Linked DNA regions of Drosophila melanogaster. Changing the gene in region 2 together with the main gene of any one other region gives a genetic interaction. Each region holds a gene or a part of one and is shown on either strand. Other genes may lie near its edges.

What was found.
Region 1: of Arf1 (region 2) and garz, changing one enhances a phenotype caused by changing the other (phenotypic enhancement), as found in Drosophila melanogaster (one study listed by BioGRID).
Region 3: of Arf1 (region 2) and Pld, changing one suppresses a phenotype caused by changing the other (phenotypic suppression), as found in Drosophila melanogaster (one study listed by BioGRID).
Region 4: of Arf1 (region 2) and siz, changing one suppresses a phenotype caused by changing the other (phenotypic suppression), as found in Drosophila melanogaster (one study listed by BioGRID).

Annotation. Positions count from the first base shown.
Region 1 is NT_033778.4:12,324,641-12,329,377, reverse strand, and holds the start of garz (gartenzwerg), read right to left. Parts: upstream 3,019-4,737; 5' UTR 2,705-3,018; coding exon 2,603-2,704; intron 2,540-2,602; coding exon 2,341-2,539; intron 2,286-2,340; coding exon 1,300-2,285; intron 1,239-1,299; coding exon 258-1,238; intron 188-257; coding exon 1-187. Other genes in the region: CG8841 (uncharacterized protein), read left to right, coding at 3,478-4,720.
Region 2 is NT_037436.4:22,867,957-22,874,231, forward strand, and holds Arf1 (ADP ribosylation factor 1), read right to left. Parts: upstream 4,276-6,275; 5' UTR 4,101-4,275; exon of another isoform or gene 3,857-4,100; intron 3,769-3,856; exon of another isoform or gene 3,364-3,768; intron 3,132-3,363; exon of another isoform or gene 2,891-3,131; intron 2,339-2,890; exon of another isoform or gene 2,259-2,338; intron 2,195-2,258; 5' UTR 2,034-2,194; coding exon 1,886-2,033; intron 1,819-1,885; coding exon 1,709-1,818; intron 1,667-1,708; exon of another isoform or gene 1,589-1,666; intron 1,516-1,588; coding exon 1,390-1,515; intron 1,291-1,389; coding exon 1,126-1,290; 3' UTR 552-1,125; downstream 1-551. Other genes in the region: EMC4 (ER membrane protein complex subunit 4), read right to left, coding at 1-80, 141-196; CG11109 (uncharacterized protein), read left to right, coding at 4,325-4,390, 4,479-5,732. UniProt on the Drosophila melanogaster protein: Small GTPase involved in protein trafficking between different compartments. Modulates vesicle budding and uncoating within the Golgi complex. In its GTP-bound form, triggers the recruitment of coatomer proteins to the Golgi membrane.
Region 3 is NT_033778.4:6,243,651-6,248,526, forward strand, and holds the start of Pld (phospholipase D), read left to right. Parts: upstream 1-1,861; 5' UTR 1,862-1,927; intron 1,928-2,613; 5' UTR 2,614-2,783; coding exon 2,784-2,934; intron 2,935-4,876.
Region 4 is NT_037436.4:21,032,956-21,037,546, reverse strand, and holds the start of siz (schizo), read right to left. Parts: upstream 3,013-4,591; 5' UTR 2,629-3,012; coding exon 2,246-2,628; intron 1-2,245. Other genes in the region: CG10581 (uncharacterized protein), read left to right, coding at 3,355-3,400, 3,464-3,987; Polr3E (RNA polymerase III subunit E), read right to left, coding at 4,075-4,431, 4,496-4,591.

The DNA.
Region 1 (4,737 bases), on a different chromosome or scaffold from region 2:
CCAGCATTTCTTGATCGAAATCTTCGCCACCGTTTAGACCACGCAAATTCTTAGTGAAGTCCTCGAGCGTCATTGGAACATTTAAACGCTTCGCGTTCGAGTTGTGCTGATCCATGTTCAGCATGATGATGGCATAGGCCAAGCGAAAAGCAGCGTCTACGTTGGCAAACGGATCTTGGTTTTGTTTCTATATTGGTGGGATACATACATGATTAATATCAGAGACTGCAAGTATTTTAGTAGATGTGTATACTCACATGCCAATGATCAGAAAAGTGTTCCAGCACCAAAAAGATCAATGGAGCCTCTCCGGGCAATCTGAAGGTCTCCAGATAAAGACGCAATGCTTGATCCACTCGAAGACCAGTGAAATCAAACGAGTCCACAAAATTAATTAGAATCTTAGAGTCGACGTTTTTCTTTTTCGAGATATATTCGCCAATCATTTTTTTATCGAGCCCGGGATTTTCTCGAAGGAACAGGGCCACCTGCATGGGATCAAGCTCGGCATTTAGGATGCCGTGTTCTTGCAGATACTGGATTCCTTTCTCTGGACGCTGATTAAATCGCTCTGTGCCTTGGGATAGCAGACGCTTCTTCTGTTTGACCTTGGCCAGCTGTTCACTGGTTATTCCCACTCCCTCTCCGCCAGATTGTAGTCGTAGTCGATGTGAGCTCGCATTTATAAAGCTTGCGATGTTCTCCACTTTCTCTTCTGCAGCTACACTATTGCCAGAATCAATTACGATTCCCTCCAATCCGCTGTTGTGGCGAGAATGGCGGCTGCCACCTGTTGCTGGGGCAGCTTCTGGCAAGGACTCTCTGTTGTTGCTGCTATTCTTGCTCGCGGCACAATTTCGCTCGATACTGTCTATCACACTTAACAGGGTGTCCATTGAGATAATGTGGGTGCTATAAACTGCATTCGTTGCTGACAGCGTATACTTGCTCAGTAGGTTTGTCAAACTTTCAAACATATCCGTGCAGTACAAGTCACAATCGTAGTTGATATACAATTCCGTGACGAAGCCGGGAATGCGCCACAACTGCAGTAGATTGTCCAGAGCGAGTTCTCGCATTTCGTAGGGCGTCTTGGGATTATCGCTAGCAATAATCTCGCTCAATTTTCTAAGGTAGGCTTCCAGCTGAAACTTGAGATGTCCGCGGAGAGACTCGAAAAGCAAAAAACAGAGCTGCAAATCGGCGGCAAAGATGCTAAGCCGCTCTGAGCTGAGAAGCTGTAGGGAAAGGAAAGAGTTAGGTCAGAAATAACTAACGAAGCAATTAAGAGTCCCTTACCGATATTAAGTTTCTGCATAAGTCGTCCTTAACCAGCTCCAGCAAGCCCTCATACTTTCCAATATTATCGGCTGCGACTTCAAAAGCTACAGTAAGTAGACTAAGACCCGTGTGCATCATGCTATCCGAGTTCTGCTTATCCAGAGGATTGCAGAGGATTATGAGGAATCGGAACAACTCCTGGATGAAGGGCAGGCCATAAGGGGATAGTGATGTTACATCGTGATCGGTGGACTGCTGTGTAAAACGGACGCCCACCGAGTTGATGTACTCGCTACTATTTGCCTCGGCCAGGGTGCTGGTTGCTTCACCCGTTTCGCCGTCCAGCAAGGGCTCCGATTCAGTCGACTCCACTTGAATAACAGGAGTCTCCGGGACAGTGGTTTCATCTTCCCCCGTGCTCGCCGTTGTTGTTGGTGTCTGCGTAATCTTGCCCTGCATGTCCAATATGTTTCCCGCTGGACTGGCGGGTGTGGTGGCCAATATGGGTGCCTTCAAGTGCCCTGGCACCGTCAGGTTGGCAGACTGCGGTGTTTGAGGCGGTTCCTCCACTGCTGACGATTTCCTGGGTGCTGTCTGGGCTTGGGCAACCGTCTTACGCTTTAGTTTTTCTTGGGTAGCTCCGCTGGCAGCATCGCCGATAGTAAATCGCTTCTGGAGCATGGTGTCACTTCGCTCTTCGGCGAACTGGGGAAGGCGCATGAAGAAGAGCAGCACCATGTCCTTGAGCGATTTTTCCGCCGAGCGACGAAGCAGTTCACTCAGCCTCGGCTCGAAGGAGATCTTGAAGCAGCTGAGCATCACCTCGCACATGGACACATTGCTGACGGCGGCTCCTTCGGGACTGCGGATAAGCGTGTGCAGCACCTCAATCACTCGCATAAAGGTGACACCATCCGAGGACTGATCGGTGCCCATAAAGCGGGCATGTGTCACAGCATCGGCAATGCGCTCCACAATGTCAGCCAGATTTGGAGACGTGGGATCTGTGGATAGGTACAGAATGAGCAAATGCAGAGGGTAAGCACTAAATCATAATACCTATTAGCCCGTAAGACAATAATTTGTTAACCGAGGCCAAGGCTAGACTAGTCAACGGACCCGTGGCGTCCGCCGTGCGAATCACCTCAAGAAACGGAGCCAGGAAGACCTGAGGCTCGATCTGACGCAGGTCCTCGATCCGATTTAGCTCATGCTTGAGGTCAATGAACAGCTTCAGCAGCGAGTCATTCTCGTCGTCCTGTGGATGTGCAAAAGGGCCATATACTTTCTATTCGCAGTGAGCATTAGGGGCACTATTTACCACGTAGGCGGTGGCATTCCAACGCGTTCCACGTCGCATCGCCGTCATCAGGGTGGCCATTTCGCCCCGCACCACGTAGATGCCGTTGCCTGGAAGCGCCATGGTGTCCGCGTGTCCTCCGTTGCGGTGTCTCTACGACTGCAGCTAGTTGGCTTCCAGTTCCAGGGCTAGCGCTGAAAATTGCAGTTTTCGTGGGGCAGGGCAGCTCCTCCTCCCTTCCCGACGACCTTCGCATATGTTTTGGCACTCGCCACTTGCCCACTCGCACACTCACGCTGCCTGGACGAATCTGGGCGTGCTGCCTAGTTGGGCATCTCTCACTAATCCTAACTAATCGAACTGGTAAGCTGCTAATTTTTGGTGACGTTTACGTGTCGTTTATGTTCTTGTGTGCAGTCCGAATATTTTGCACAAGCGTCTTCCAACACCGGCGCGGCAGTTCGTCGCTTCGCAGCACTGGCACAGCTGTAGATGCCAACTCGATGCGGAAATTTCAATAGATTAAATTGAAATACAGCTGCAAGCGTATATAAAAAAAATATAACCTTGTTTTTAAAATAAAATATGTTGCCAAGCTGTCGATCAAATTGATTTAATCAAATTGATATTTGAATATGAGGGCCAAAACAGGTGAGCATAATCAGTCACGCACGCATCTTCAGTCGTGAGCGTTACACCCACCACTAAGTTACACTGGCATTTGGTGCGTAGGCGAATTTCTAATTGGAATCGTTCGATTTTTGAAAAAGAATCGCATTAAATGCAAAGCATTCCTGTTCCAGACTACTGCGCACACTTGCACTGAGGCGATCGAGCACGGGGCAGGTGGATTTACAGGACTCAGCGATACCAAAGCAGCCCACAGGCCGAACAATATGGGAAACACGGACTCCAAGTTGAACTTTCGCAAGGCGATTGTGCAGCTGACGCAGAAGAACCAGAAGATCGACCCCAGCGACGAGCAGTTCTGGGAGCAGTTCTGGCAGGGCCACCAGACGACGCTGGAGGATGTGTTCGCGCTGGTCACCTCGAGCGAGATTCGCCAGATACGGAACGAGAATCCAGCCAACCTGGCCACCTTATGCTACAAGGCGGTGGAAAAGCTTGCCCAGGCGGTAGACAGCAGTTGTCGCACGCAGGCGGAGCAGCAGTGCGTTTTGAACTGCGTGCGGCTGCTCGTCCGGTGTCTGCCGTACATTTTCGAGGACGAAAAGTGGCGCGACTTCTTCTGGAGCAGCCTGCCATCGCAGGACAAGACCATGCCGTTGGCTCAGTCACTGCTCAATGCCACCTGCGACCTTCTTTTCTGTCCCGACTTCACGGTTACGGCCACGCGGCGTGCGGGCCCCGAGAAGGCCGAGGAGTTGGCGAACATCGATAGCTGCGAGTACATTTGGGAAGCGGGCGTGGGTTTCGCCCAGTCACCGCCCCACAACGCCCACATGGAGCGCAGGCGCACGGAGTTGCTGAAGCTATTACTCACCTGCTTCTCGGAGCCCATGTACCGATCGCCGCAGCAGTCCGAGGAGCCCAACAAGTGGATAGCATATTTCACCTCGGCCGACAATCGCCATGCCCTGCCGCTGTTCACCTCGTTTCTGAACACCGTGTGCTCCTACGATCCGGTGGGCTTCGGCGTGCCCTACAATCACCTGCTGTTTGCAGACACCACAGAGCCCCTGGTGGAAGCGTGCCTTCAACTGCTCATTGTCACCTTGGATCACGATATGGTGGTGCAGCAGCAACTCACACAACCCGGACAGGCGTCCTACGACGAGGGCAATTGCGGCGACAACTTGTTCATTAACTATCTTTCGAGGGTTCACCGCGACGAGGACTTTCACTTTGTGCTCAAGGGCATAACCAGGCTGCTGAACAACCCACTGGTCCAGAACTATTTGCCCAATTCCACAAAGCGACTTCATTGCCACCAGGAGCTGCTTATTTTGTTTTGGAAAATATGCGACTACAACAAAAAGTTTCTGTATTTTGTGCTAAAGAGCTCCGATGTTCTGGACATCCTGATTCCCATTCTGTATCACCTAAACTACTCCCGAGCGGATCAATCTCGAGTGGGCTTGATGCATATTGGAGTATTCATACTGTTGCTCCTATCGGGTGAGTCATATGTCATA
Region 2 (6,275 bases):
GCTGGTCGCGCACCACTTCACTCTGGTTCACCAAAGCAGATGGATTGTAGCCCAGCGGCGAAGGAATATCAGCATTTTTGCTGCAGGAAAAAGCAAAAGTGGTAAGAACTTGAGTCACCGCGCAGGCTAGCAATCCTTACCTCCCGTTAAAGTCCAGCGCCCACTTTAACTTTTTTGGGTTTTGCTTGGCGGACATGCTGTGCTTTCTTTTATTTAATCTTTTGCCAATTTATAAAACAAAATGACGATTTTTTCTGACAATTGGTCGCTGAGTGTTGTTCAACGTTAAATTCCGAAATTATTGTAGTGTAGACAATTCGATAGGCAACTGATGTGTATGGCACCAGGGTATCGATAGGCAGTTACGATTTTGCGCGGACTTTTTGAAACGCATGTGCAAAAATCGAACAGCGCAGTAGTTTTCATTAATATTTAAATTTTATTTCAAATTACCTTTTAAGTAGTACTTTCCTTTTTAATATGGTCTTATATATATGCGTGATTTTTAATGGATTTTGCGTGACCAAGCGACAACAAGAAACAGAAGGGTTAAAAATTAAAATGGTATTTGTTGTATTTTTAAAGAGCAATTACAATTACAGTTTTTTCTCATTAATATTACTTTAATATTATAAAATTAAAAAGAAATATATATTTTGATGAGGGGTAGGGAGAGGACAAAAATAACTTAAAAAAGACATTTTTATACCATATACTATAGTTTCCTTTCTTGTGTGATTGGTTGGGCTTTTCTTTTACTCGATTTGCTTTTAAACATCCAATAATTATGTATACGAATTTAAATTATATTATAGCGTTCTTTATATGCTGCTTGAAAGGTTATGTTTTTGCAATTCAATAAACAATTTCAGTTTCTTGTTTGGAAATACGGACATGCGGAGCCCTTTAAGTTATGCGAAGATCTGCTGCTCTTGTTGTTGGTGTTGGTGCCGCTGCTGCTGTTTTGTGAAAATTCCTTCTGATGTCGATTTCCACCGTTTACCGCTGGATGTTGGATGTCCTTCAGCCGCTCTTTCTATGGTTCTGGTTGCTGGTTAACTGCTTCGGCTCGCTTGAAATCAGAGTTAGTTGTATTCATATTGTTGCTTTAATTTTAGTGTTTAATTAGCGATTAGCGTTCTTCAATTGGTTGGACAGCCAGTCGAGTCCCTCGTACAGCCCATCACCGCTAGTTGCACACGTCGCCTGGATGTACCAGTTGCGGTTTCTGAGTGAGTGCAAGCCGAGCTTGTCGGTGATTTCGGCCGCGTTCATTGCATTTGGCAGATCCTAAAATGATCCCAGAAAAGAGCGAGGTGCAATATTAGTATGACAATATAAGGACCGAGCAACTGGCTACTGATAACGACAACCTTTGCTTGGACCTACCTGTTTGTTTGCGAAGATTAGTAAGACTGCATCCCTCAGCTCGTCCTCTGCCAGCATGCGCATCAACTCCTCTCTCGCCTCACCGATACGCTCTCGGTCATTGCTGTCCACGACGAAGATAAGACCCTGTAACGATTCAAATGAAAACTTTATTCCAATTGTCCTGGCTTGAATCGTAGGAGATAGATCTCTAAGATAATATAGTCAGTCCCGTCTTGAAACAAAATAAACTTGAATAATCACAATGCATAATCATTACAAGCTGTTAACATCATATAGAATTTTCTGGAATCTGTGGAAAAGCTGAAATCACACTTACTTGTGTATTCTGGAAGTAGTGCCTCCACAGGGGACGAATTTTGTCTTGGCCACCCACATCCCACACTGTAAAGCTAATATTCTTGTATTCTACAGTCTCCACATTGAAACCTAGGGGGACAACCATTAGATATTAGATTTGGACAAGATACATTAAAGGTGCTAATAAGATACTTACCAATGGTAGGTATCGTTGTAACAATTTCGCCTAATTTGAGTTTGTACAGAATTGTGGTTTTACCAGCGGCATCCAAACCGACCATCAATATCCTCATTTCCTTTTTGCCGAATAGGCCTTTGAATAAGTTCGCGAATACGTTTCCCATGGCTGCTGTTTGTCTTTCGGATGCTCGGTAGTCGTAGGAAGTTGGATCTCTGGTTGGCCTGCTCGCTGTCTGCTGGCTGGAATTATGACAAGTTCAAATCCGAGTTGCTATACCGATCAGAATATGCAAACTGCACACTTGTGTGCATGGAGTGGGAGAATCTGTGAAGAGTCCAAAAATAGACAGTTGTAGGCGAGAATTTTTCGTGGTAGGAAGAGCTATCACAAAGGACGGATGCGCCGAAGCTCCTCTGGTGTTTGTTTCACTTATGATCGCGCTTACGTGTTGAATGGCGCTTACCCACTCTGAGTCATACAAAAACCGGAAGAGCGGAAAAACCGGAAAAAGAAACGAAATTCGTTTTTGTTTATTGTAATAAGGACGTCTTCAATGCGTCAGCATGAGAAAAACAGAAAATTTGTTTATGTAATTAATTCCACACTTAAATACAACGCGAAATGGAGGATGTATGAAACACGAGTCGCTTGCTTTTAGTGTTTGCCCCGCTAGCGGCTGCTGATAAGATATCGATTTTTAGTATAGAACCATGACGGCTGTCGGCGCTCAGCGCCTCCCTTCCAACGTCCTCCACCCACTTTACACAGAGTACGCAAGAAACGTGCGGGCTGAGAAGTGCGTGAATGATAAGGCCAGGTAACTTGCAGTTTTCGGCGAACTTGCTGGGCGGAGGGGAAGCTCCCAAACTCTACAGTGAGTCACCGCTGCCGCCTTTTGAGCCCTGCAACCGAGCAGGCTGCAACCGATGGCTAAGCAATTCATGTTAAAATGGAGGAACGCAATGAGCAAGCCCGTTTCGCACGAACACAAAAAGAAAAAAGGTTGCCAGCGAAACATACGGAAACCTTTCGTTTGACAGCAATCGGATATCCAAAAACCTAAGTTTGTTACAGGGAACTAACACCCCAGAGACTTCTTCTCCGGACCGGTAGTGCGCAAAGATAGGTGCTCCACGTTACTGAGAAGATGCTGATGCCAGCTGACGATAGTTGGCTTGGAAGCAGCCGAAATCGAAAACTACACGTAGCAGCTTTTAATTTAGCGCTGAGGGAAGCGAGGCAGCCCACCACCGCACACTCACGCATACACCCGCAGGCGCCAGGGTTGCCAACTGCGTTGAGCCGCCCTGCCTTTGCTGCCTTTAATGCGTTTAAATAGAAGCTCCAGGCGGAGGGCGTCACTGCTCGAAGATGAACGCTTCGCCAGCCCACGCCCCATGTTCAGACATTTCGCAACTAAGCCCACTTTCGGATCGGGATCAGACAACTTTGAACTTTATACGTGGTTGCCTGCGTCTGTGTGAGTGACGTACGCTGTTTTTCTTATGGGTTGGTGAAATGCGGCTGCCGCCGTCCCTTGTTTTTACAAGAATACAGAGACCGGTCCGAAGTTACTTGGACTTCTTTTAACTGAGATCCTTTTAGCTCAGTGACACTTTACACGTCCATTTACCGATTATTCTGCCTTTTTTCGTGGACTTTTCTTTGATTGAATTTTCTATGCTGCCAAACACACCACACACCGAATTGCGAATAGAAAGATAATGGAGAGAAATGTATCGATAGCATCCGCTACCGATAGTCGATGAGCACAAGTCACTATTGTCTGCCGAACAGAGATTGTAAAATGTTCCCAATTATATAATTTAGCTATCACTTTTGTAATTAAAGGAGAGCTTGTCCTTGTCTCCTGTTACGATAATGCTATAAACAAAGCACCGACGATTAATTCGTGCGGCTTCCAATACTAATACTTCCACTATTCACCACAGCCGCGTACGTTGCGCGAGTGTTCGTGGATAGCCCACACTAAACACTCACACGAACATCTACATTACTGCGGAACTTCTTAAAATCAAGAAAAGTATCTCTGCCTTGACATACCACCCCCTTTTTCGACTGAAAACGCATACGCACCAACTAATTGAATCAAATGCACACGGCTAGGAGCGGAAATTTTAAAAACTTCTGCTTGGAAATGTCTAAAATCACAGAGCAAAATAAAACTTGACCGAGAATACACTTGCTGTTGAAAAAACTGCAAACTCACCAACATAAACGTTGCCGATAGAGATGGGCGCAGCGCATGAGCTAGAGCGGGATGCCGATGTTGTGTAGTCCCGTGGTGAAAACTCGGGAAATGCTGCCACGTCTCTTCTCCGCCACCTCGGCTAGAGTTGCCAACGATTTGGATTAATCGATTCATCATTGTCGCACAATGCTCACTCGATAAAGTTCACTATCCAGGTGATTTGAACTAAGTTAAATGTTAATATGTTTTACCCAAAAACACCATTTTTGGTGAACCCGTTGCTGGAAGCCGATATCCTTAAAGTGAATGTATGTACTTTCAATGTGCACAAATACGTATTTACAACAAAAACTGGCTTGCAAATTTTATTAACTGTTAATTCCTGGTTTTGTCAAGTCTGCTGCACTTGCTCCGCTGTTGGAATGGCTGTGCCTTACTCCCAAAGTCACCACTTACAGGGTGAACACTCTTAGGTGTTCCGTTGACGACTTTCGGAAAAAGTTAGAAGAAAAACTCGCCATTCGCTACGGTGTAAAATCTCCAAGGATTTACTGCTTGCCAAACCTACCCGAGATGTTGTGCATTGATCCGCTGGACTCACAGCTCACCAAAGCTGTGGCCGACTCCGAGCTCAAGGAGGTAGTGGTTGACACTAACTGCGGAGCTGCACTACTGCGAGGCGCCCACATATACGCCCCCGGTGTTTTAGCTATGGAGTCAAACACTGAGCGGGAGGAACTCGTCAATGTCTACGCAGATCTGGATGGAAAATGCAAGCGCGGGACGGTCAAGCGGTACGAAAGCCCAAATAAGGTTTTCCTGGGTACAGGCAAGGTGTTAATGCAGCGGTATCAGCTGTTCAACAACGCGGAGAAGCCCGCCTCTGGAGTGGCCGTGGAAATGCAGTCCAACGTCAGCGGAGTGCCCACGCTGGGGGATCTAAGCAGCGAAGACGGCCTGTTGCAAAACCTGCCTTCTATTGTTTGCGTCCGTGTCCTGGATCCGCAGCCCGGCGAGCGCATACTGGACATGTGTGCCGCTCCGGGTAACAAAACAAGCCACATAGCCGAGTTGATGGGCGATCGGGGATCTGTGGTGGCCCTAGACAATTCGGCCAGTCGCGTCCGCAGCATGCTGCCCAAATTGGGACACTACAAAAGCATAACGGCGCATGTTTTTAACTCCACCGAGGCAGTGGCAGCGGACGCTCCATCTGCACCCGTGGGAGAATTCACTGGGCCTCCGTTTCCATGTGAAAGCTTTGACCGAATCTTGCTCGATGCACCCTGCAGTGGGCTGGGCAACCGGCCACAGTTGTCCTGCAGCATTAAACAGGTTAAGGTCTTGTCCTCATATCCCCATATTCAGCGCCGGCTATTTGAACAGGCAGTGCAGCTCGTTCGTCCTGGCGGCATCCTTGTATATAGCACGTGCACCGTCACCGAGGATGAGTGCGAATGTCTTGTGGCCTGGGCACTAAGAAAATTTGTCGAGCTGCGGCTAACAGATGCCACTCCCCGGTGGGGCGGTCCCGGACTTCCGCTTCCCGGTTTCGAGGCATGTAAATCTCGTCTGTTGCAGCGCTTCGGTCCAAGCGGAGCAAATGCGGACACTGTGGGCTTTTTTATTGCGAAGTTTCAGAAAATATAAATAAATTCAACTTCACTGAAATTTTTTGTTTATTGGGCTCGATAATTTAAACATTCGTTTTGATTTGCAAAAGTAAGCCGGCTTATGAGTGATATAAGTGAGACCTACGCTAGTGGTATTTGATCAAGAAAATTTCAACCCTACGCTTAGAAAAGCATTTGAAAAATGCAGTCTGATAACATTTAGGCTTTGCTCTCCCATAGCTGCTTGTGCTATCTTAATGGAGATACATAATGTTATCTTTTTGTTTTCGAGTTAAAAAGAACTTAAATAATTTACAATTCATAACTAATGTAATTTTACTTAAATCTAAGTCCGTCATTGTTATTTAACGATTCTTGTTAAAAGCAAAATTATGCATTTCGGGAACTTTAAAACTTTCTACGACAAAGATTTACTTAATGATTTTACGAGTTGTAAGTTAAAAGGAAGTCAAAAATATTACCAATCATTGATGGGACCCCGATAAATGCATGTTTTGTTTGTGCTTGAGGAAATTACTAAATATGATGAGAACATCGATGAAGGCTTTTAACGCTGGCG
Region 3 (4,876 bases), on a different chromosome or scaffold from region 2:
GATATTAGTAAAATCTAATAGGCAACGCATAGACCTAAAGAATTAGAATGTGGTTTCCCACAACGATCAAAAAAAAAAATATTAAAACATTTTCAAAAGGTGTGTCAGTTTTGGGCGGTTGTGGGCGTGCCTCTAGAATCGTTTTATCTAATCTCAACTCTCTAGCTATAATGGTTCCTGAGATGGTGGTGTTCATACGGACAGACTGACATGGCCAGATCAACTCGGCTATTGGTTCTGATCAAGAATATATATACTTTATAATAATAAATAAATAATATACTTTATATGGTCGAAAACGTTTTGTCTGTTACATACTTTTTAACGAATCTAGTATACCCTTTTACTCTACGAGTAACGGGTACAACAAAAATGCTATATTCGACTTATGTTCTGACAGTCAGATACCCGTTACTCAGTTAGTGGAAATGGTGAATTGATTGAGAAAATATTTAAACAAATTTGAAAGTATGGGCGTGGCAAAAAGTTTTTTGGTAAATCGATAAAAATTTACAAGTGTAATAAAAATATAAAAAAAAATTTGAAAACATTTTTTAAAAGTGCAAGGATGTGCAAGTTTTAGGCGGCTATAGGCATTAGGGGGGCTTGGCAACTTTCTATCTGTTATATTTTGGAAGTGACAAACAGGTTCTTTTTTCGTCTTGGGCAACTATTATAATATATTATATTATATACTAAATAACAAGTTTACAAAGAATTCACTACACTAGTAATAAAAGCTATCACTACTTCAAAGTTAGCAGACCCAATACGAAATTCAATGACCAAATAGAAGTCAGCACCAAAACTTAATTACTTAAAAATTTCTTTGAGTGACAGAAGGAAAACTTATATTAGGACAGTATATTTCTTAGATTAGATTTATGGAAGATAACAATGTACTAATTTCTGAATTGTTTAAATAATATCGAACGAGTCAACTACCTTATCCAAACCGCTACCGGAGCACTATCCCTTCGAAAGCTTAGTCTCATTTCTCAACAGCTAACTATAATTTGAAAATATTTAGAATAAAGTTATTGTTCGATAGGCTCATGTTTTTTTTGGGATGAAAGGGGATTTTTATTAAATGTCCGAAAATAATTTTTCGTCACTAAAGTTTGGTATGGTATTTGGCATGATGCGATCGTCAAATGTTTTTACCGAGTCACTAACTTGGACATAGTCTCTAAAACATACTTTTGATTTTATTTTTACTTAGTTCCGAACTAGGGGTCAATAATTTAAGTTATTGAAATTCAGTTGCCCCGCGTGGGACAATCTAATCGAATGCTAATTGTAATTCGGTTATTTATCCTGCGCACTTCATTGGGGTCGTACAAATAATGAGTTCTGATTACAGCGATTGTGCCCAAGTCTAGTGTTGCCGATAAGATAGCCGCAATAGATACTAAGCAGAGCTACATGCACACCCAAAGTGCCGTTGTGACTCATCGACTCCTCGACCATTGTTGCGGGTCCGACAATAGGCCTGTACTCGATCAGCGATTTTTAAAAGGTGTGTGAACCGCGCAGAAAGCTTTGGAAAGCTTGTAGAGTTTGTGCCAATGCCTCGGCAGAGAACTTGTTCTTATGGATTGTGGCTGACCTTGCCGTAGAAGCCCATTATGTTTTTATTTGCATAATACCTTAGAACAGTCGAAGGGTTTTCGGGCTATCGCATTTCAATATCTTGGAGATTATGAAAAGCTTTGCCAGCTGTTTTGAAGTTCGCAGCTGTGCTCTGGAAAACTCCCTCTCCATTACCAACTTGCGGCATTGACGCTCTCGCCGTAACCGTTACCCGTTAACCGTTTTGAGCTCGGCGACCTAAGCTTTTGGCTGCGTCGCGAGGTTTAGTTAATATTATTAACCGGAGTGACGGCCAAGTTGTCGCAACGTTTCTCGTGGATCGCAGATCGTGGCGGTAAGGCGAGCTTTTTGCCGGGGGCTCAAAGTGTGAGTGTGAGGTGTCTTCAGTTTGGTTTTTTTCACATAGCGTGGCATTACTCTCTTTGACGAATTCAATGCGACGTCGCGCTTTTTTCGGTTCTGCAACTTCCGTTAGTCGGTGGCTCGAAAAGTAAACAAAGTGCTGCATATCGCATGCAAACGTGACAATCTTTCAGACGCACTCCAACTTGATAACTTGATAAGCATCTGTGAGATGCAAAGATACAAGTTATAAAGCACCATCTCGCGAAGCCATGTAGCCGAGTGAAAAAAGTAAAATATGCGAAAGCAGAAAAACAAAAAATTTGTGCGTGTGTTAGTTGGCCATTGTGCAAACCTTTAATGAGCTGGAAGCGCCAAAAGCCAAATACCAACGAATATAAAGAGCACGCGAAACATTCAGTTATATTTGCAAAACTTGGTTTTGTGTTCACGCAAAGATAACGATATGCCATGATAAAAATTTAATTAATTATTTTTCAATGCAAGGGATATAAAAAAAGAAAAGTATACACGCTGTGACTGAATGAAACTTGGAAGGCAAAATTAATTTAAATGATTATTTTCGTGGCGCAAAGTATCCTTCCTTCCTCTACTTACCTCCACGGCAATAAGTCCATTATACACAAACGCGGTATTTATAATTTGTGGTTTAAACAGCCTCCGCAGGCCGCAGAACGGACATTTTTCACGTAGGCGAACTGTCGATGCGACTGAGAAATGCAAAAAACTGGAGCCGACAACAAAAGCTTCCTATCTATAAAGCCAAAAACCGATTGCCAAAAATAAAATAGAGCCCATTAAATAGCCCGCGTAAAGCGCACACAACAATGATGGCCACGTGCTTGGATACCAAAACCAGCAAGAACCATGAGGCCCAGCAACTGCAACTGCCCCGGCAGGCGTCATCGAACGCCAACTTGCCACATTTGCAGGTCCGACGTCATCGCCGCAGCATCTCACAGCTGATGGCCAGCATGGGTAATTTTTAGATCTGAAGATAAAGATATTTTCATTTGCATAGATTACTTGGTTCTCGTAGAGCGGCAATGAAATATGTGCGTCATCGTGAGATGAGATAAGAGTGATCATGTTTGCTAAGATATTTCAACATTTAGAACTGGTTGGCGGTAGGTGTTATGGTATGCGAAAGTGAAAAATCATTCTGCACCAAGTTTTCATTGTTTCAATTTGGGGCGATTTATAACAATGAGTGTGCAGTCGAACTTAAATAAGTGTAGTAGTGTAGGGAACCAAGAACTGATAACGATTTCATTGCCTAAATAATAAATTAGCCGAACAATACCCGTTTCCTTTGGATTATATAAGCCTTTACCCACTTATTGCTTCCATCAAATTGCGTGTTGGGCTCGGCCTAACGGTGCAATTAGTAAATGAATCATAATCAATTTTAAAATGCATGACGCGCTGCAAGTAACGATACATGCCGATATTGTTAAAAATATATCGAGCCTGATTTACATTTGTACTCATGCTCGATCATTGCAACAGGAAGTTTCGATTTCTTTGCAATTGTGTGTAGGTCAGGTGAAGCAAGCGATCGGTGGGTTTAATAACCTTTTCAGTAGACCGGCCACTGACAAAACCCGCTAAACAAAGGCGATTCAAAATGAACGCCCTCGGTCTGAGGACATTTTGATAACGGGCATTAAATGGAAAGCATTAACATTCCTGCAAAAAAAAATACAATGCATATAACAGAATTTTTCAGTTAAATCAAAAATGTTTAAGTAACATTTAATTCGGCAATTTAGAACTAGTTTTTTTTCACACCAATGCCCTATCAATAGGAATGGGATACCACAGCTTTATTCGCCACCATAAAAACGTATTATTGTGGTTGGAGTTTAGTTTTTTCAACGAAAAATTGTATATTCTTGAAACAAAATGGGGTTACTTCTATTCGTCTTATCTGTTAGTGATAAAAGTGTCAAGTTTTTTTTAAGTTAATTTGCTTGCCAAAACCAATGAGCCAAAACTAATGAGTTCGGCAAATCGCTTTGAAAGTGAAAAGGTGTTAAGAAATTATGGTTCTTTTATTGAGTACGGTGTTACACTTATTATACCGCCTTAAATTTCTGAAAACGGCGGCCGATGATTGAATAATAGGTCCAAGGTTTAATTATATCCACAATTCTCTTTAACGATTCGTCTAATCAAATACATTTTTGATGGACTTAAATTTTTTTATTTTTTCACTTTTATCACAAATCATGGAACTCGAGCATTAAAGAAGTTTTTGTTTTTGCCTCCAGAAGTTTTTGTTTGGTGACTTGAAGCTGATAGCAAAAAGAGCTTCGTGATAAGGCATATGCCAACACTCGTTATTTTCACTACCCATATAATAACGAATTCAATACCAAGAATTTATGCCTGCCAGTTGAACTTGCCCATAAGCTAGCCTGTGTATGTAAAAGTGTGGTAATAAAACTTTGATGGCACTTATTATGATAGGGTATCATGGAAGTGCCCCAATGTCATTGATCATTGACGGCCATTATCAAATTCTTTGCACTCGGCGTTCCAGTTTATTTTAATTATCACAAGTGATAAGGAGCAATCGTAAGTTATGACTCGTTCAATTGTTTGATAAATTAAACCAACAACTTCTGAAACAGTATCTTAACAAAAATTTTCAGGTGTCGCTACCTTTTTTTTTTAAAAAACCATTTTCGATTTTTGAATTTTAAATATTTCTATACGCGGTACTCAGCGGACAGAAATAAAGTTACTCTGTGAATAGGCGAATAGGACAGGACACCTGTTATTGTCTGCTAATCAAAGCACTTGACTAAGTACTGATTTATTCTGTTTATTACTATCGTCGATAACTGAACCTGTGCACTTTTGCAAAGCCGTGCCGCATCCATAAACTCACTTAACCGTCATTGGTTGGCCTACC
Region 4 (4,591 bases), 1.8 Mb from region 2:
ATAATCATTTTGTTTTTGTTTATTTTTTAATGATGGTAATAAATAAAATGCTTTAATTGTGAGTCACGTAAGTTCTCCCAGTGTACAGAGAGAAACAACAACATTCATGGAGCAGCGGAACCGTACTCATAAGACAGAAAGCTACCCGCACAATTTCAACAACATCTCTGATCTTGAGTTTAATGTCTCATCGTGACATACTCTTTTCCATAATGAAAGATATGCCAACTAGGTGCGTGCAGCTTATCTTGTACAACTCTAATCTGAAAGTGGATCTAAGCCGTGGTAAGCATTTTTACATTACATTTAGATTCGCTAATTAAAACGTAAAAAATGGTGGTACAAATGAGGAAATGTACCTTATATGCAGGGAACGTTTGATAAGCAAATCCTGCATTTTTCCCAATTTCATTTATGCTCTATCAACTAAATTATCATTATTCAAAATAATCTGATCTGAAAGATTAATTTATATATAAGATATCTGAAGTGATTATTCATATAAAAACGTGACAATAAATAACAATTCTAAAAGAGTATCTATACATTCGACGAATGCGAGTTTAAAAGTTTCTGGTGTTTTGTGTTTCAAAGTTTTGGCGAAGGTGAGCTGCAAAAACCGAGACATAAAAAATAAACAGAAAACGCTAAGCGAATAATTGGAAGAGCCCACGATTCTACTACTAGCAGACCTTAGAGGCCAAGAAGCCCCGAAAATAAAGAAAACGGTTAAAAGATAACTGCGCTTTATTTGCGCCCACTTTGTATATGTATACATCATATATACGAAAATATCTGTATTTAAAAGATTGTCTGCGGTGGGGCATGACCGCATGCAAAGCAAAGTCAGGTACGAATATTAAGATACTCCCAACTTTATTCGACTGTCAATGGCAAAATGCCAGGCGAATGGTTTATAATATTTCTTTTCTTGTTTGCCCATGCATTTGTGAGGTTAATCTCCCCTGGAAAGACCCCAAATAAGTGATCGAAACTCGGTCTTAACATTGAATTTCCCTGAGACGGCTCTTATCGCCCGAAGTAGCACTACACATTAGTTATCAGCAGAACTAAACAAATAGAGAATTCTGGTCGATCGATAAGCGGAGAGCAACTGTAGTTCTATCACAGCACAACTGACTCATTCAATTTGGCAACGAAATAAATACAACATTATCTATTGTTCTGTTACAGATAAGCATGAGTTTTTTATGTACGGAAATACCTATCGCCACGGTGCACTTCATTTTGCGACCACGACTGTGTCGATTAGCCCACAGGTAGACCGGCGTGCAAAAAGGGGTTGCAAAAACCAGAAGTCGCACTCCGACTTGTCAGCCTGCAGCTGCCAAGGTGGCAAGGACAAGGGGACGAATGAATGTGACTCAACGAGAAGTTGACTCAACCCGGGGGCAAGGAAACATTGGAGTTGGGGGTCACGGAAATGCAGCCGAAAATGGCGATCCAAAAAAAAAATCAATGATTTTTGTGGTTTTGTTTGAGTGCTGAAGAAGAAATGGTACTTTGGCTTCAAGTTTTTGTTTTAAGATCACACAACCACAAAATATAAAGTAAGGATCTTCACTGAATGAATTATGTATTCCAGCTCTTTTTCTTATCAGCTAAAATGTTAATTTCTAATCAGAAAAGGGAAATAAAAAACTGGCCTATGTGCAGATTAAATTATGGTATAAATAAAACTACAATATATACAGATATATCAAAGGCCTTGACCTGAAACTTAAAAGCGAAATGCCGCTCTGATAAGAAGCATTAAAGAAGAGCTTTAAAAGTAGGTAGTATAGCAGAAAAGATTTTAAATATATATTGTTTCAAAATATAATCAATTTAAAGATGAATACTATCTCCTGACTGATTATAATTACTTAATGGAATATTTTGGCTCTTAATGAGATCACAAAATAAACAACCGCATTTTACAGAGTATTTAGTGAGAAATTGTTCTTTGTAATATGTAAAATGCTCGTTGACACATCTAGAACAATATCGACAAAATTCTTTTTAAATATGTTGAAATCAAATTGCTGAACATTGCAAATTTTTTCTGGCCCCCAAATGCCATGAAAATTATTTTGCAACCGCAATTTTAAAGTGCATCTCTTCCTATTGGAAGTTTCCATTTAAGCGGGATGTCCAATAGGAAAATATGATATGCCATTAATTCACCCTTATTTAACAGATATTTGAATATATTACTAGATAGTAAACATTGGTGGGCACTCACTTATCATCGAGATCGACGGGCAGTCGCTTGAGCTCCGACATGTCCAGCTCCAGTCGCAGATTGGACACTTCACAGAGCAGGCGATCGCGTTCCAGACTCAACTCCTTGATCTTGGCGTGCAGGGCATTGTTCTCCCGGAGCAGCTCGTCCACATTGTAGGGCATCGCATGCACATGGTGATGGGGCATGTTGATGGAGAGGGGCAGGGGCAGGGAAACGGGTCCAGGTGGGGCGACACCCCCAGCGGAACCGCCCGGCCCTCCTTGGTTTCCCACAAACATTATGGAGCTGGCCATCAGCAGGGACTGCGTGGTCTGATGCAGCAGCAATTCCTGGTCGCCATCCGAGTTCTGGGATAGATTCTTCAGATCGGCCTCGGACATGTTTTGTTTATAACCTTAGCGGGGATCGGCTGCACTCCTAATCGATGTGCTTTTGTGGCCAAAACATTATAGCCCCGCCACGCACACGCACTCGCGCGAATGAGGGAAGGTGGTGGAGAGGGTGATAAAACAGCGAAACAGGCAGAACCACTTTGAATCTCACAATAAGAACTGAAAATGCAGCTTGCTGCGAGTTGAAACTTCACTCGTATTGTAATTGAATGACCTTCGTATATTATACTTCAGAGCCAGCACTTCGAATCGCGAGCAACAGTTGGTGCGGATCGGAGGGGGATTACGAATATTCTCGGAATTACGGATTTTCAATTCACGCGCGACGAAAAACACGACGCACTCGTCGTTCGACGTTTGGAAACAGTGTGGACGTGCTGGGGGGCACCGCAGTGTGACCATAGAGCATGCAACTCAAAATACGCTATCGTATTCAAAAAATATACCGCATCAAATGTGGCATTTTAAGACGACCGTTTTATTTTAAAATATATTGTTGTTTTCATCTTATTTAAGAAGGGCATAAACAATCTTAAGTTTATGCTCATTATTATACATAAGCATTTTCTTTCTTTGATAAATTTAAAACTCATTAAATCTAAATATGTGTGCATTAATTAAGATTTATTTTGGAACTGCCAATGATCCATTCCTGGTTGATCTAGTTCACCACAAAAATATTCTATAAAATTGGTATTGTAATAATAAGCCGACATGAAGAACCAAAAAAATATAACCATTATACTAACTGGGCCACCAGGTGCAAATTTAGCTGGGAAAATATTTGCTATTTGTTTATTATGTATGTAATCATGATTTTCAGGAGTGGGTAAAACTACACTGGTCCACAAAATATGCTCGGCTCTGCAGGATAGAGGACGCATTCTTCAAGGATTCTACACAGAGGAAATGCGAGGTGAGGGCACCAGCCAAAGAATCGGCTTCGACGTGGTCACGTTAGCCGGAAAACGAGCAATCCTATCTCGCAAGAATCCCGGGGACCAGCTGCGACGACCCAAAGTGGGAGAGTATTCGGTGTTTGTGCAGGACTTCGACAGTCTCGCTCTGCCAGTACTTGGCACACAGGATTCCCAACCAGAGCCGGATCTCCTGGTCGTGGATGAAGTGGGCAAAATGGAGCTGCTTAGCAAGCGATTTGAGTCGGCCATGGCTGATCTCCTGAAGAAAAAGCGGGCCCTATTGGTCACCATACCCGAGAAATCAACATTGGCTTTGGTGGAGCAGCTGAGAAAGTCAGCAGGATCCAAGATTTACCAGGTGACCAAATTCAATAGGAACGCCTTGGCTGGAGAGATTACAGAAGAGATTACAAAAGCACTTCTTTAACAAAGTAAAATTGTTGGTCTTTTTAATAGTGCCTAGATGTATAATCGTGCTGCCGATTCTCCGCCGCTGGGAGATCATCATCCGATGCTACGCATCCACGGAGCCAGTTGTTGAGTGATTCATTGCGGGCGGCGGCATGGCTGAAGTCAGTGACTGGGATTCGCTCTTCCTCGTCGAACGTTTCCGAACACGTTTGGTTTCCCTAGCCCAGTCCATTTCATTGTAGTGCTGCTCGGAAGCGGTCCAGTGGTACTCCTGTCGGCTGACCAGTTCCGGGTACTTTTGCTCGAACTCCTTGTCGGGTGGCAGTAGCAGCTCCCACCGTTTTGTGTTATTCACCCGGGCCACAGTCTTCAAAACGTCAAGTGTTTCCGCAGGAGGTAACTGGGTGGCGGCCATTACCTGAGCTCGGAACAGGTAGGGCGTGCGGGAGAAACGAAAGAGCTGCGGATGGATTTGAGGAGATTAGTACAAGATAAGTGATCGCTACACCCATACTATAACTCACTATATAATCTCTGGCGCGAATCATCTGCTCTGCGGACACACCGTTCGCATGGGAAAGCACCTTCTCGGGAAAGACCACCTCGGATTTCGGCACCCA